Linked DNA regions of Mus musculus. The protein of the gene in region 3 interacts with the protein of the main gene of each other region in a pairwise test. Links are inferred from orthologs where the notes say so. Each region holds a gene or a part of one and is shown on either strand. Other genes may lie near its edges. The genes, in order: Klc1, Ldlrap1 and Mapk8ip3.

Evidence for each region.
Region 1: the proteins of Mapk8ip3 (region 3) and Klc1 interact in binary tests that used the Homo sapiens proteins (3 or more experiments, as listed by UniProt). The link is inferred for Mus musculus from reciprocal best matches to the Homo sapiens genes MAPK8IP3 and KLC1.
Region 2: the proteins of Mapk8ip3 (region 3) and Ldlrap1 interact in binary tests that used the Homo sapiens proteins (3 or more experiments, as listed by UniProt). The two-hybrid records come from large-scale screens. The link is inferred for Mus musculus from reciprocal best matches to the Homo sapiens genes MAPK8IP3 and LDLRAP1.

What each region holds. Positions count from the first base shown.
Region 1 is NC_000078.6:111,775,761-111,779,404, reverse strand, and holds part of Klc1 (kinesin light chain 1), read right to left. Parts: intron 3,482-3,644; coding exon 3,403-3,481; intron 2,594-3,402; coding exon 2,368-2,593; intron 1,386-2,367; coding exon 1,298-1,385; coding exon of another isoform or gene 1,157-1,297; intron 807-1,156; coding exon 705-806; intron 1-704. UniProt on the Homo sapiens protein: Kinesin is a microtubule-associated force-producing protein that may play a role in organelle transport. The light chain may function in coupling of cargo to the heavy chain or in the modulation of its ATPase activity.
Region 2 is NC_000070.6:134,765,167-134,769,350, reverse strand, and holds the start of Ldlrap1 (low density lipoprotein receptor adapter protein 1), read left to right. Parts: upstream 1-1,346; 5' UTR 1,347-1,450; coding exon 1,451-1,535; exon of another isoform or gene 1,536-1,541; intron 1,542-4,184. UniProt on the Homo sapiens protein: Adapter protein (clathrin-associated sorting protein (CLASP)) required for efficient endocytosis of the LDL receptor (LDLR) in polarized cells such as hepatocytes and lymphocytes, but not in non-polarized cells (fibroblasts).
Region 3 is NC_000083.6:24,902,417-24,906,060, reverse strand, and holds part of Mapk8ip3 (C-Jun-amino-terminal kinase-interacting protein 3), read left to right. Parts: intron 1-762; coding exon 763-893; intron 894-1,097; coding exon 1,098-1,154; intron 1,155-1,241; coding exon 1,242-1,412; intron 1,413-2,009; coding exon 2,010-2,136; intron 2,137-2,676; coding exon 2,677-2,772; intron 2,773-2,898; coding exon 2,899-3,057; intron 3,058-3,617; coding exon 3,618-3,644.

The DNA.
Region 1 (3,644 bases), on a different chromosome or scaffold from region 3:
GGAAGACATGCAGTGGAACTGGGATTGTTATTTAAGGTTTATGTGTTTCTGTGCATCACATGCACACCTGACGCTCACTGAAGCCAGAAGAAAACTTTGGATCTCCTAGAGCTGGAGTTAGAGTTGTGAGCCCCCATGTGGCTGCTGGGAATTGAACTTACATCTTCTGTAACAGCAGCCAGTGCTCTTAACTGCTGAGACATCTTTCTAGCTCCAGTAAACTTATTCTTGTTTTGAGATAGGATCCCCATGTGAAGTCGTGATTGTCCTGAAACTCACTCTGTAGACCAGGCTGGCATGAAACACACAGAGATCCACCTGCCTTTTCCTCCCAAGTGCTGGGACCAAAGGCGTGTGCCAGTGCACCTGAGAGTAACTTAATGTCAAACTGAAGCATCTCTAATGACAAGAGCACACCATCAGTGAATGCAGAGACTGCTGCACTCCCCTGCTACTCAGGACTTCCCTGGTCAACAGCAGGAAGGGCAAGGCTGAACACAGGAAGCCCCTTCCTGCCTTTCTGGGAGTTACTCTCAGTAAGCAGATAGTAAATAACATATCGCTGTGCTCGGTTCTCAAACCTTAAAATGATGTCATTCCCCGAGAGAGAGGGAGAGACAGAGACAGACAGACAGACAGACAGACAGACAGACAGAGAGACAGAGAAAAACTAAATTCAGTGAAGAAGTGCAGCTGCCTCTCACCTTCTCCCTGATCTCCAGGGCTCGTTTACACAGCGGCTCCGCCTCCTTGTACTTCCCTCGCTTACCGTACAGTACTGCTAGGTTGTTCAGAGTCGCTGCCACCTGCCAAGACAGAAGGCCACAAGGAGCCAGTGTAAGAGTGGCCATGAGGGGAGTCCCAGATCCTCCCACATGCATGGTGACACTCAGCAGATCAGAGGGACTCACTACAAAATGCACCACTGAAACTAAACAATCAACATGATCTTGATTCTTCAATTTCTCAAAGCCACAAAGGCAACCAAATCAGATCTCTGTACACATCTGAGCAGACACATAAGAAGACAGCACAGATTCTCAAGAACAAATCTAGAGGCCATGCGCCTTGATTTTGGATCAAAGTGAAGTGAGCCAGTGATCTGAGGAGGTGACTTAACAAATCAGAGGGGACCCGAAGGTGTGAGTGTCACTACCTGAGCAGGCCCTACCGGTACCATCTGGGACAAGGTGGCTCTCAGACCCTCCCCGTTGAGCTCGTCATTGGAATGAGCTGGACAAAAATGCATTGGGAAAATAAGCTGTAAAGGCCTGGAAGGAGGGGTATGTATACACACCGCGGGGTGATCTCTGCCCAGGGTTTTCTCGCGGATAGCCAGGGCGTCGTTCAGGAGGTTAGCTGCATCTTTATACTTGTTCTGATCCCTAAACCGAAACACACAGTCCTCGTTCAGCTGGAGGTCAGTCACGAACCCCACCAGTCTAGTTAGTTAGTTAGTTAGTTAGTTAGCCATTACTGATACTGAGGACTGAACGCCTGGGGTTCAGGCATACAAAGAATTTACTTCACCACAAAAGTCAGCCTGAACCTTTTTAAAATGCAATTTTGACTGCAGTGCTGGCCTTTCGAGGCAGTCCAGAGAAGTGGACAGACAGAGTCTATGGGTAGGTCATAGAGATTGTCTGCCAGCAGGAGTCAGCTGAAGCCAGAAGTCTGTAGAGACTCAGACCTGCCCTAGACCTGCTTAGTCAGGGGACCAAGGATCAGGCCCAGCACAGTGAGACTGAAGCCCACCAGGAAATTTAGATTAAAAGTGAAAATTTTAGAGCACTGTAAATCCCTACAGTAAAATTCCAAGGAGAGTGCAGAGGACTTTAAATATCCACTTAAGGAAAGGCACAGTGCAACACCTCACTCACTCCCTGACAGGAAGGAAGAAAGAACCTGCACTGCCCACGCAGGGGCACCGTGGCAGGAGCACAAAGGGCACCACCCCTCTACAGAGCAGCTGGGAGAACCAACAAAGCTTTAAAGAGAACCCATTTCAGGAGATTATCCTAAGGGGGGAATTTTTTATATTAAGTGTGTGAGTGTGTTTCCTGTAATTACACAGAAACACACAGGCCAAACACTCACATACATAAAATAAAACTGATTTTAAAGAAGTCGAAGTGACTGAGTTGGTCAGTGCAGAGGGCAAAATGGCTACTCAGGCAGAGCTGGCCCGGAGCTACAGAGAGCAAGCACCTGGCTGGTCCTGCGAGAGCCCTGCCACCAAGCTGGCTGAACATTCTAGATCAACTGCTGGCTGTTTGAAGCAGATAGGAAGGCTGGAAAGCTGTTTCATAGAGGCTTATGAAACACTCTGCCTCTCAGAAAGTTCAATGCAGTAACCCAAAGACTAGCCTGTACACCAGGGCCAAGATGTTGAGCATGGTAGCCACATCGGGGTGGTCGTGGCCGGAAGTCTTCTCCAGATCCTCCAGGGCCTGCTTGCAGAGTGGCACCGCCACCTCGTAACGCCCCTGTGAAGCATACTGGATCACCAAGTTGTGGAGCGTGCGCAGCCTTGCAGGGATCTCGTAGCCGCCCTGCTGGGCGGCGGCCGCAGCACTACTGTGCTGCTGCTGGACTGCAGAGAAGGTACATGGCCGTGGTTAGGACAGAGTGGCTAACACATGGACAGCACCCTAGTTCCAGTCAGTGCATATGCTAGCCCATAGTCTCCTGGGGACCCACGAGCAAGCCAAGAGAAACAGCCCGTGGGGAACAGTGTGCTGCGGACTGACACCACCACAGGATTCCTCCAAGGGAAGGCAGAAAGGGTAGGTCCTCTGACTTCTTTAACCCTGCAAAGACCCACGCCTATATACTAACTAACATCACACCACGCACTAACTACTGTAAAGTTTGGGAAAGACAGAGGCAATCTCCCAGCTATGGTGGCACACACCTATAATCCCAAAATTAGAGAGGATGAGGCAAAAGAACGGAGAGTCTCAGGTCTAGGGCTGGAAAGATAGTTCAGTGGTTAAGAGCACACACTTACTGCTCCTGCAAAGGACTGGGGTTCAGTTCCCAGCACGCACATGGCAGCTCACAACCAGCTGTAATTCCATTTCTAGGGGCTCTGCCACCCTCTTCTGACCTCTGTAGGCACCAGACACCCACCTAGTACATATACATACATGCAAATGAAACACTCATACACATAAAATAAAAATTTTTGATCTTTAAAAAAAAGGCCACCCTGGGCTACCATGTGAGACCTCATATATATATATATATATATATATATATATATATATATAATTCTCATGTGAGACCTTATATATATATAATTCTCACAAGCTAAGTATGCCAGGGCAGGACTGTCCTCAGAGAGGAAGCAGCCCCACACTACTCCACATTTAACGGCACGGTCACATCCTTGCTACTCACTTCCTTGTCCTGGTTCGTCCTCGTCATTTGGGAAGAGATCATCCAACGGCTCTTTGGAAGAATCAGAGTCTTTGTCCTCCTACAAGAGACCCAGAGCATCCTTCACTCTGTAGAACCCCCATGCCGCCTGCAAACCTCTTAACATAAAATTCCTTTTTACTTACTACAGACCAGACAAGATAGCCAGTTTTTTACAGTTAAGAGTATGATGATCTGAGTGTGGCTTACCCAGCAGCTCAGTA
Region 2 (4,184 bases), on a different chromosome or scaffold from region 3:
GATTCCCACTGAGGCATCACTCTCTGACTCTTGGGGAACCACAGGTATGTCGTGTCTCCTGCTGTAAAGGAGGCTATGGCTGGCTGTACTGTCCACTCAGGCGGAGCACTTGGAACAGACAGGAGGTTTAGAAAGAGTGGAATGTGAGCCAGGCCTCCTTGGGCAGCTAGAGCACACAGCATGTGTGTCTCCCAGCCAGAAGAGATCTGCTGGCTTCTGAAACTAGCCAGAGGTCACAGCTGCGCTGCTGAAGCCCAGCTTCTGGAAGCCAGGTAGTGAACGCCAGACTCCTTTGGGCACAGTCTGAACCAAGGGTTAGCGGGTTTTTTGGTTTTTTGTTTTGTTTTCTTGGTTTTTTTTTAATAGTTAGAATTCTTTGTTATTTGGGTTTTCTGAGACAAAGTTTCACTCTATACCCCAGGATGCCTTGGAACTTGCAGGAATCCTCCTGCTTCAGCTCCATGAGCGCTATGATTACCGGTCTGAGCCATCGCTCCTGGCTCTAGAGTTAAATTACCAGCTTCCTGGGGCTGGAGCAGGTGCTGCCTTGGAAACAGGCTAGAGCAAGGCTACACACCGAGGGCCTGCCCAGACAGGCCGGTGGGTGCACTACAGATAGGATCACGCTTCATTTGACAGATATCATGACTCAGAGCAGGGAAGGACAGCCTGGGTCACACAGCATGCCTGAGTCTGCGTCTAAGGTTGCAATGTCCCTGAGACTGTGGGGGCAGAGGACAGCTAAGAAAGCTGCTAAGGGCATCTACCAATACACTCCCGATCCTTCCCAGCAAAATTCGCGGCCTTCATTCCCTCGTTCAAAGACTCCCATTGCTTTGGTGCGCCCCTCACTCATATTTATTTAATTATTTACATTTATTTTGTGTATGTAAGCAATGGGGGAGGTGCCACTGTTAGCGCCAGGAGGTCAGAGGACAATTTGCAGGAGTTGATTCTCTTCTTCTACCGTGTTGTCTCCGGGATCATTGTCAAGCTTGGCGGCAAGTGCCTTTATCCACTCGACCCTCTCCTTCCCATCTATCGTTTTTTTCTTTCTCTTATTTTTGAACAAGACCCTTATCGTTCTACCTTTCACTCTTCCCATCGGTGAAACGGTATCCAGGTGCCTTTTAGCTGAGCTATCTAGAAGGCCATGGGATCCCGTAGCTAGAGAACGGGGAAAGGCGCTGGGCTGGGAGCCTTGGTGGGTTCTGAGTTTAGGAACACCGCGCGTGCAGCCTCGGAGCCGGTCCAGGTCCGGGAAGGGCGGGGTTGCGCTCTAGGGGCGTGGCGGTGGGCGTAGCCCCTCCGGCCCCGCCCCTAGACGTCGCGGGGAGGGCGGGGGAGGAGCGCAGCGGGCGCGCGCCGCCTGGCCCGGCGGAAAGTTTTCCTGGAGGAGTTTTGGCGGCGGTAGCGGCGTCAGTGGCGGCGGCGACAACCGGAGCGGGCCATGGACGCGCTCAAGTCGGCGGGGCGCGCGCTAATCCGGAGCCCCAGTCTGGCCAAGCAGAGCTGGGCGGGCGGCCGGCACCGCAGTGAGTGTATGCGCCCCGGGTCGGGCCTCCGCCGAGCTCCGGGCCAAGGTGGACTGGGTGGCTTCGTCCCGCCCCGCGCGGCGGGGCCGGGGGTCATGTCCGGCTGCACGTCTGGGGCAGGTCGACAGGGATCAGGCTTAACTCGGGGTCCCCAGGTGTGGCGCGAAGGGGACGTCTAGAGCCTCTCTACCCACTCCAGCACAACCTACAGGGTCCCCTCTGGACGCTGGAGTTTCGCAGGTCCCTGCCTCGAGGGGCGATCCCAGCCCGGGTGCCATTCAGGGTCCCGCTTCCTCCCCTCTGGACGCGTCCAGGTGGCGAGGCTGGAGCCCAGGCTATTTACAAACCCTGTTTTCCTCCGTACTTTTCCTTGGGGGCTGGTCCGAGTCCCTGGGCACCTAGGCAAAAGGCAGACTCAGACTCGCTGCCATTTCTCCCGGGAGTCTGGAAGGGTGGAGAGGAGCCTCCCCCAGCCACCTCTCGGGTTACTTTCGGAGAGCCGTCACCTGGCACCCTCCCCCGAGGCCTGAGAAACCTAGCTTAGGTCCCTCCTCCCTTTTCATTCGCGTGGGATGATCACCCAGGCCTTCCCTTTCTGATGTGAAGCCAAAGTACCCGGGCTCGCGGCACACCCTCACCTGCCACCTACCTGGGGCCCCCCACCTCTCCCACTAACAGTACCCCCTCCCCGCCCCCAGCTTCTCGTCAGCACCTTCCCTTGCCGGGCTCCACCAGGGGAGCCCGAGTTTCCTAGTCCCTGGAGCGCCAGCGTGTCTGGGCCTCGGGAGCCCGCCCTGCCCCTCCTCATTCCCACTGTGGTGTTCCAGTTGTGGGCTCCTCCTAGCCCTGACTGGCATCGGGAACGCGTGCTGGTGCCTACTGGCGGGGGTGGGGTCAGAGGCCCCTTGGGCAGGGCATGTACTGACTTCCACACTTAACTACCAAAATAGCCCTTCAAAAATTCGTGGGATGTGACCAGGGCTTCTGAGTGTGACCTTCTCTTCCAGTGGACGAACCCTGTGGTTTTTCTACTGGGACAAGAGAGAGAAGGGTGGGTGGGGAAGAGGTCTGAAGGGGAGGGAGCCAGGAAGCAGGGGATGAATCTAGGGCATCAGGGTACATTTTGGATGGTGAGAAGTTTCCCTTCCAGCTCCAGCCTTAAGGCCGATCACTTGTTCTTAGTGATTCTGTTTCCTATCCTGGAAAATAGGGATAAAATTCCTGCGGGGCTGGGGATGTGTGTGTTGTGTTTGGTAGGATGCTTGCCTTAGCTTGCAGGAAGCCCGTGGTACTTTAAGTTCTTGGTTCCAGTATCGGCACTAAACAAATCAGGTGTAGCGGTTCGTGTCTGTACTCCCAGAACTAGGGAGTTGGAAGCCTACAAATCAGAAGTTCACAGTCATGAGGTGTCAGATAGTGAGTTTAAATGAGGCTGGTCAGGGATAGGTGTCAGTTAAGATGTTGCTAGTCTATTTTACAGGTTGGTGATGAGGTCTCTTGTTGTCTAGGCTGGCCTAGGACTTGCTGTGTAGACCAGGTGTGCTTTGAGCCTCTGATCCCCCAGTGCTGGGATTAAAGGTGTGCACCGCCATATAGTTATGTCCATGTCCTCTGGATTCAACCTGATTCTTATCAGGTTGGCCAGTTCTGAGATGGGGGCCTCAGCCTGTCTGTACCCTGGAGGGATGCAGCGCTCTCCTCTCTCCCTGCTCCTCCCAAAGCTCTGTGCTCACAATGAGCTCCTCAGAAACCTGGCCTATCTTTGGTTAAGTGTCAAGTTCGCAATATTCCTTTGCCGGGAAGAGTATTGCTTGGTCTGGAACTTTTGTGGGAGTGTCTGTGCTTGTCTTACTTGCCTAGAGGTGGTCTCAGTGAATGCATGCCCCTGCTTCTGTCTCTGGTATTTGACTTCTGTGAGCTCATTGGCTCCTGGGAGGTGACAAAGCTTGGGATTCTTATCTTCAGACCCATTTTAGAGATAGGACCGGGAAATGAAGTCCTAACTCTAGGCCTAGAGCATGGCCTGAGGCAGAGCTTCCCCAGCCCAGGGATCTTAGCCTTATTCCTTGGGTTTTCTGGCTGTTGGGGGGCAGCTCCACCCCAGGTTTGGCTAGCTGGCCCCCAGGACCAGGTTAGACAGGAAAGCCTTGGGTGTGGCCAGCATGAGAGGTTGGGACCTATCCAGCCCTTGGGTCTAGCGTTTAAGATCAAAGGCCAGAGCCTGTTAGATGGGAAAAGGGACTTGTTCTCAGGCGGGAGGACCTGAGTTCTAGTCCTGGGCTCCATTTGGAGGAAGGAGAAAACCGATTCCCAGGAATTGTGACCTCCACACATGCACGGGGACTCTTCTCCATAGACATAATGAGTATTAAAAACAAAACAAAACAAAACAAAACAAAAGCTCAGAGGACAAAGCAAAGATGAGGGATTCTGGGTAGAATCAGCCCCTGCTGAGAAAGAGAACCCTGGCTGGAGCTGCCAAGCACCGACCTGCTGGCTTCCCACTCACCTAGGAAGAGGACTCTTCTTTCTCATGGCCACTTCCCCTTATGAGACAGGGTTTCCCAATGTAGCCCTGGCTGCCCTGGAACTCACTCTGTAGGCCAGGCTGGCCTCAAACTCTGGGATCTCCCTGCCTCTGCCTCCAGA
Region 3 (3,644 bases):
TTTCACTTGTGACCGCTAAAGCTACTGCATGTTCTCCCATTCCATCAAGTGACTTAACAGCATCAGACCACTCCTTTGGCAGATCCTTCCTCCCCCCACCCCTGACCTCCCAAACTGAGGAAGGGTCACATTTGTTCCCCTTCTTACTGATGCCTTCTGCAGTCCCAGCAGGGGTATTTTGTTACCAAAGATGTTACTGGTATGCACCTGCAGCCTGGGCAGTGCAGCCAAACCCTGAGCCTGCACTTCCTCTCACTTCCCAAAATGAGGTCTGGGCAGCACAGTTTGTCCCTCTGTACCAGAATAACTTTAGAACATACTGGGTCCTTTGTGACAGAGCAGCAATCTGTTCAGTCTCTGGGACGTAGTGTAGAGATTCCATAGTGTAGGATAGTCTAGCAGAGGTGGGAATGTGGATTGTGGCTACTTGAGTGTGAAAGAGTGGCTCGTTCAGGCCTCCACCTTCTTTTACTGTACATTGGCAGAAGCAGATTGCAGGTAGGTGAGGCCAGTGAGGCCGTGTGCAGGCAGGACCTGTTCCTGTGCACTTTCTCCCAACTCCCTTAAGCTCGTTCTGTTCAGGCTTTGGAGAGAAGAGTGGCAAACCCCATGTGGGCTCCCCTGGCACTCTAACCTGCCATTCCACCATCACTTGTCCCAACTATATCTCCATCTAGGGGGTAGACACCTCAGAAGGAAGCCACGTATGCTTGACTGTCCTCCTGTTTCTCATTGGAGGAACCACATTTCCCCCCTCTGCAGGACAAAATCCCCATGGCCCAGCGCCGACGCTTCACACGGGTGGAGATGGCCCGAGTGCTCATGGAACGCAACCAGTACAAGGAACGCCTCATGGAGCTGCAGGAGGCTGTGAGGTGGACTGAAATGATCAGGTGTGCCCCTCAGCATTTCCTCTGACAGTTCTGAGCAAGTTCATGGCTCTGATTGGATCTATTTTTCCTGAGCTGGGGTTGTAGAATTTTAGCAGGCCTTGGGATTTGACTGCCCTCCACCACACTTCCTTTCCCCCGAGTGTTGGCATGGTTTGGGGGCTCCAGGGTCACCCGGCACAGCTCCTCCTTTACTCTTCCCTGCAGAGCATCAAGGGAACACCCATCTGTCCAGGAGAAGAAGAAGTCCACCATCTGGCAGTTGTGAGTATGGTGCTCTATGGAAGAAGAGGCTTTCGTCAGCCTGCTACTGTTCCACACTTGGCTCACTTATCTGTGTTTCCATGGCAGCTTTAGTCGCCTCTTCAGCTCCTCATCTAGCCCCCCTCCGGCCAAACGATCCTACCCATCTGTGAACATTCACTACAAGTCACCCACTGCAGCTGGCTTTAGCCAGCGTCGCAGCCATGCTTTGTGCCAGATCTCAGCCGGCAGCAGGCCCCTGGAGTTCTTCCCTGATGAGTAGGTATCCCTAGCCCCCAAGTGTCCTGAGTCTATCCACTCTATGCTTGAAGTTGGAGAGCAGACTTTTAATATTCTGTACTGTGGGACAGAAGTTATCAAGAGCAGGAAAGATGACACCTTCTCTCTATGTCCACTACCCCCAGCAAAAACTAGTCCTCAGGTTCTGTCTGAATGACTTTTAGCAGGGACTGCAGTTCCAAGAAACCATTCTCTTAGACTTTGAAGACTGTGCTGGGTCCCATCATACTCTTCCCTCCTGTGTCTGACCTTAACGTCTGAGCACTGCCCCAAACACTTAGTTAAGCTTCTTGGGGCCACTTTTGTGAGAAACTACTGGTAAACTCACCTAGGTTACACAGTTGCTGACCAGCAACAGAGCAGGCCCCAGAACAGCTGGAAATGACCTCTTAAGCACAGGATCACACCCCAGACATAATTGGGAAAAGCCACCTTCTGTCAAATACTACCCCTGTCCCAGAAAAGGCAAGGGTAGAATCAGGCAGGCTCTGAGGAAGACCAGTGAGAGTCTGGGTGCTCCAGCCTCACCCCGACAGCTCACCTTGAACAGATGTAACCTGTCATTTTTTCACCCAGTGACTGCACCTCTTCTGCCCGGCGGGAGCAGAAGCGGGAGCAGTACCGCCAGGTTCGTGAACACGTGCGCAATGATGACGGGAGGCTGCAGGCCTGTGGGTGGAGCCTGCCTGCCAAGTACAAGCAGGTACTTGAGACAGGGGGTGGTTTCTGGGTATGGAGAGGATGTGAGAAGGACACAGTGGTAGTGCAGAGCCAGGAGGCACCCATTTCCTAGCTGGTGTTGGTGGATCTGTGACTCTGAGGGTTTTCTAGTTTGCTTTCTGTTGCTCTGATAAAACCCTGAGCAGACCAGCCTGGGTGAAGAATGGGATTATTTGACTTAACTTCCACCATCAAGGGAAACTGAAGCAGAAATCACTGAGGAATAGTATTTACTGGCTTGTTTTTCATTGCATATGCAACTTGCTTTCTTACACATCCCAAGATCACCTCCCACACACATGCCTATGGACCAGTCTGATGGAGGCAGTTCCTCAGTTGACATTCCCTCTTCCCAGGGGGTTCTAGCTTATGTCAGGTTGGCAAAAACTAACCAGCACAGAGGGCCAGCAGAGCCAGACCCAGTGCACTGTGTACCAGAAGCCCGCAGGCAACTAATTGAGATTTCTGAAGGCTAAAGTGTCTTCCTTGGCCTCATACCACAGAACTTCCCACTCTGTTGCAGCTGAGCCCCAATGGAGGCCAGGAAGACACCCGGATGAAAAATGTGCCTGTCCCTGTGTACTGCCGCCCTCTGGTGGAGAAGGACCCTTCGACAAAGGTGAGCACCAAGGACCCTGATCAGAGGCCTCCAAGGAAACCCTGGACAAAGGGTAGTCTTTACTGTAGCCCCTGGGAGGCCCCAGAGAAGCTGATGCACTGAGACCTCACAGCCTTGTCCCCGCAGCTGTGGTGTGCTGCTGGTGTCAACCTGAGTGGGTGGAAGCCACATGAAGAGGACTCTAGCAATGGACCCAAGCCTGTACCAGGTCGAGACCCTCTGACCTGTGACCGGGAAGGAGAAGGCGAACCCAAGAGCACACACCCATCACCTGAGAAGAAGAAGGTCAGTATGTTGATCAAGAATGTGGTTTTATCCTACATAAAGTCTCTAGATAGTTTCCTGCAGGTTCTGCAGTTAAGTGACCACACCCTGGTGACAGTGCATCTCTTTTCCCCTATCAGTCTGAGACAGGAGCAGGTGCTGCAGCATCTAAGATACCACTGCTGCCTCTCTATAGTCCAGGTTTCCTCCTGGCCTGTGGAGCGATGGGACTGTCTACTGCCCTTGGTAACAGAGGGCTTGGGAGAACCAGGCATACCTTTTATCATGTAGTAAATTAGGGAGCAGGAGGACTGCTCATAGGAGAGGCCCAGTGATTTGCAATGAATCCCAGAGCACGGTCACAGCTTGATTTACAGGCCATGAGAGTTGCCTCTCCAAGTTTGTGGTTTCCTCTTAGAAATGAACTATCATGATATGGATCTGCGGGCTATAGGGGAGGATAACTATCCATTGATGCCATATTCAAAGCTAGATCTTAGGAAGTTCTGAGACTCCCTGATTCATGTCAATACCAAGTTCAGGCACTGGCTTTGATTTCCCCCTGATATGCTCTGAAACAGGCAAAGGAAACCCCTGAGGCAGATGCT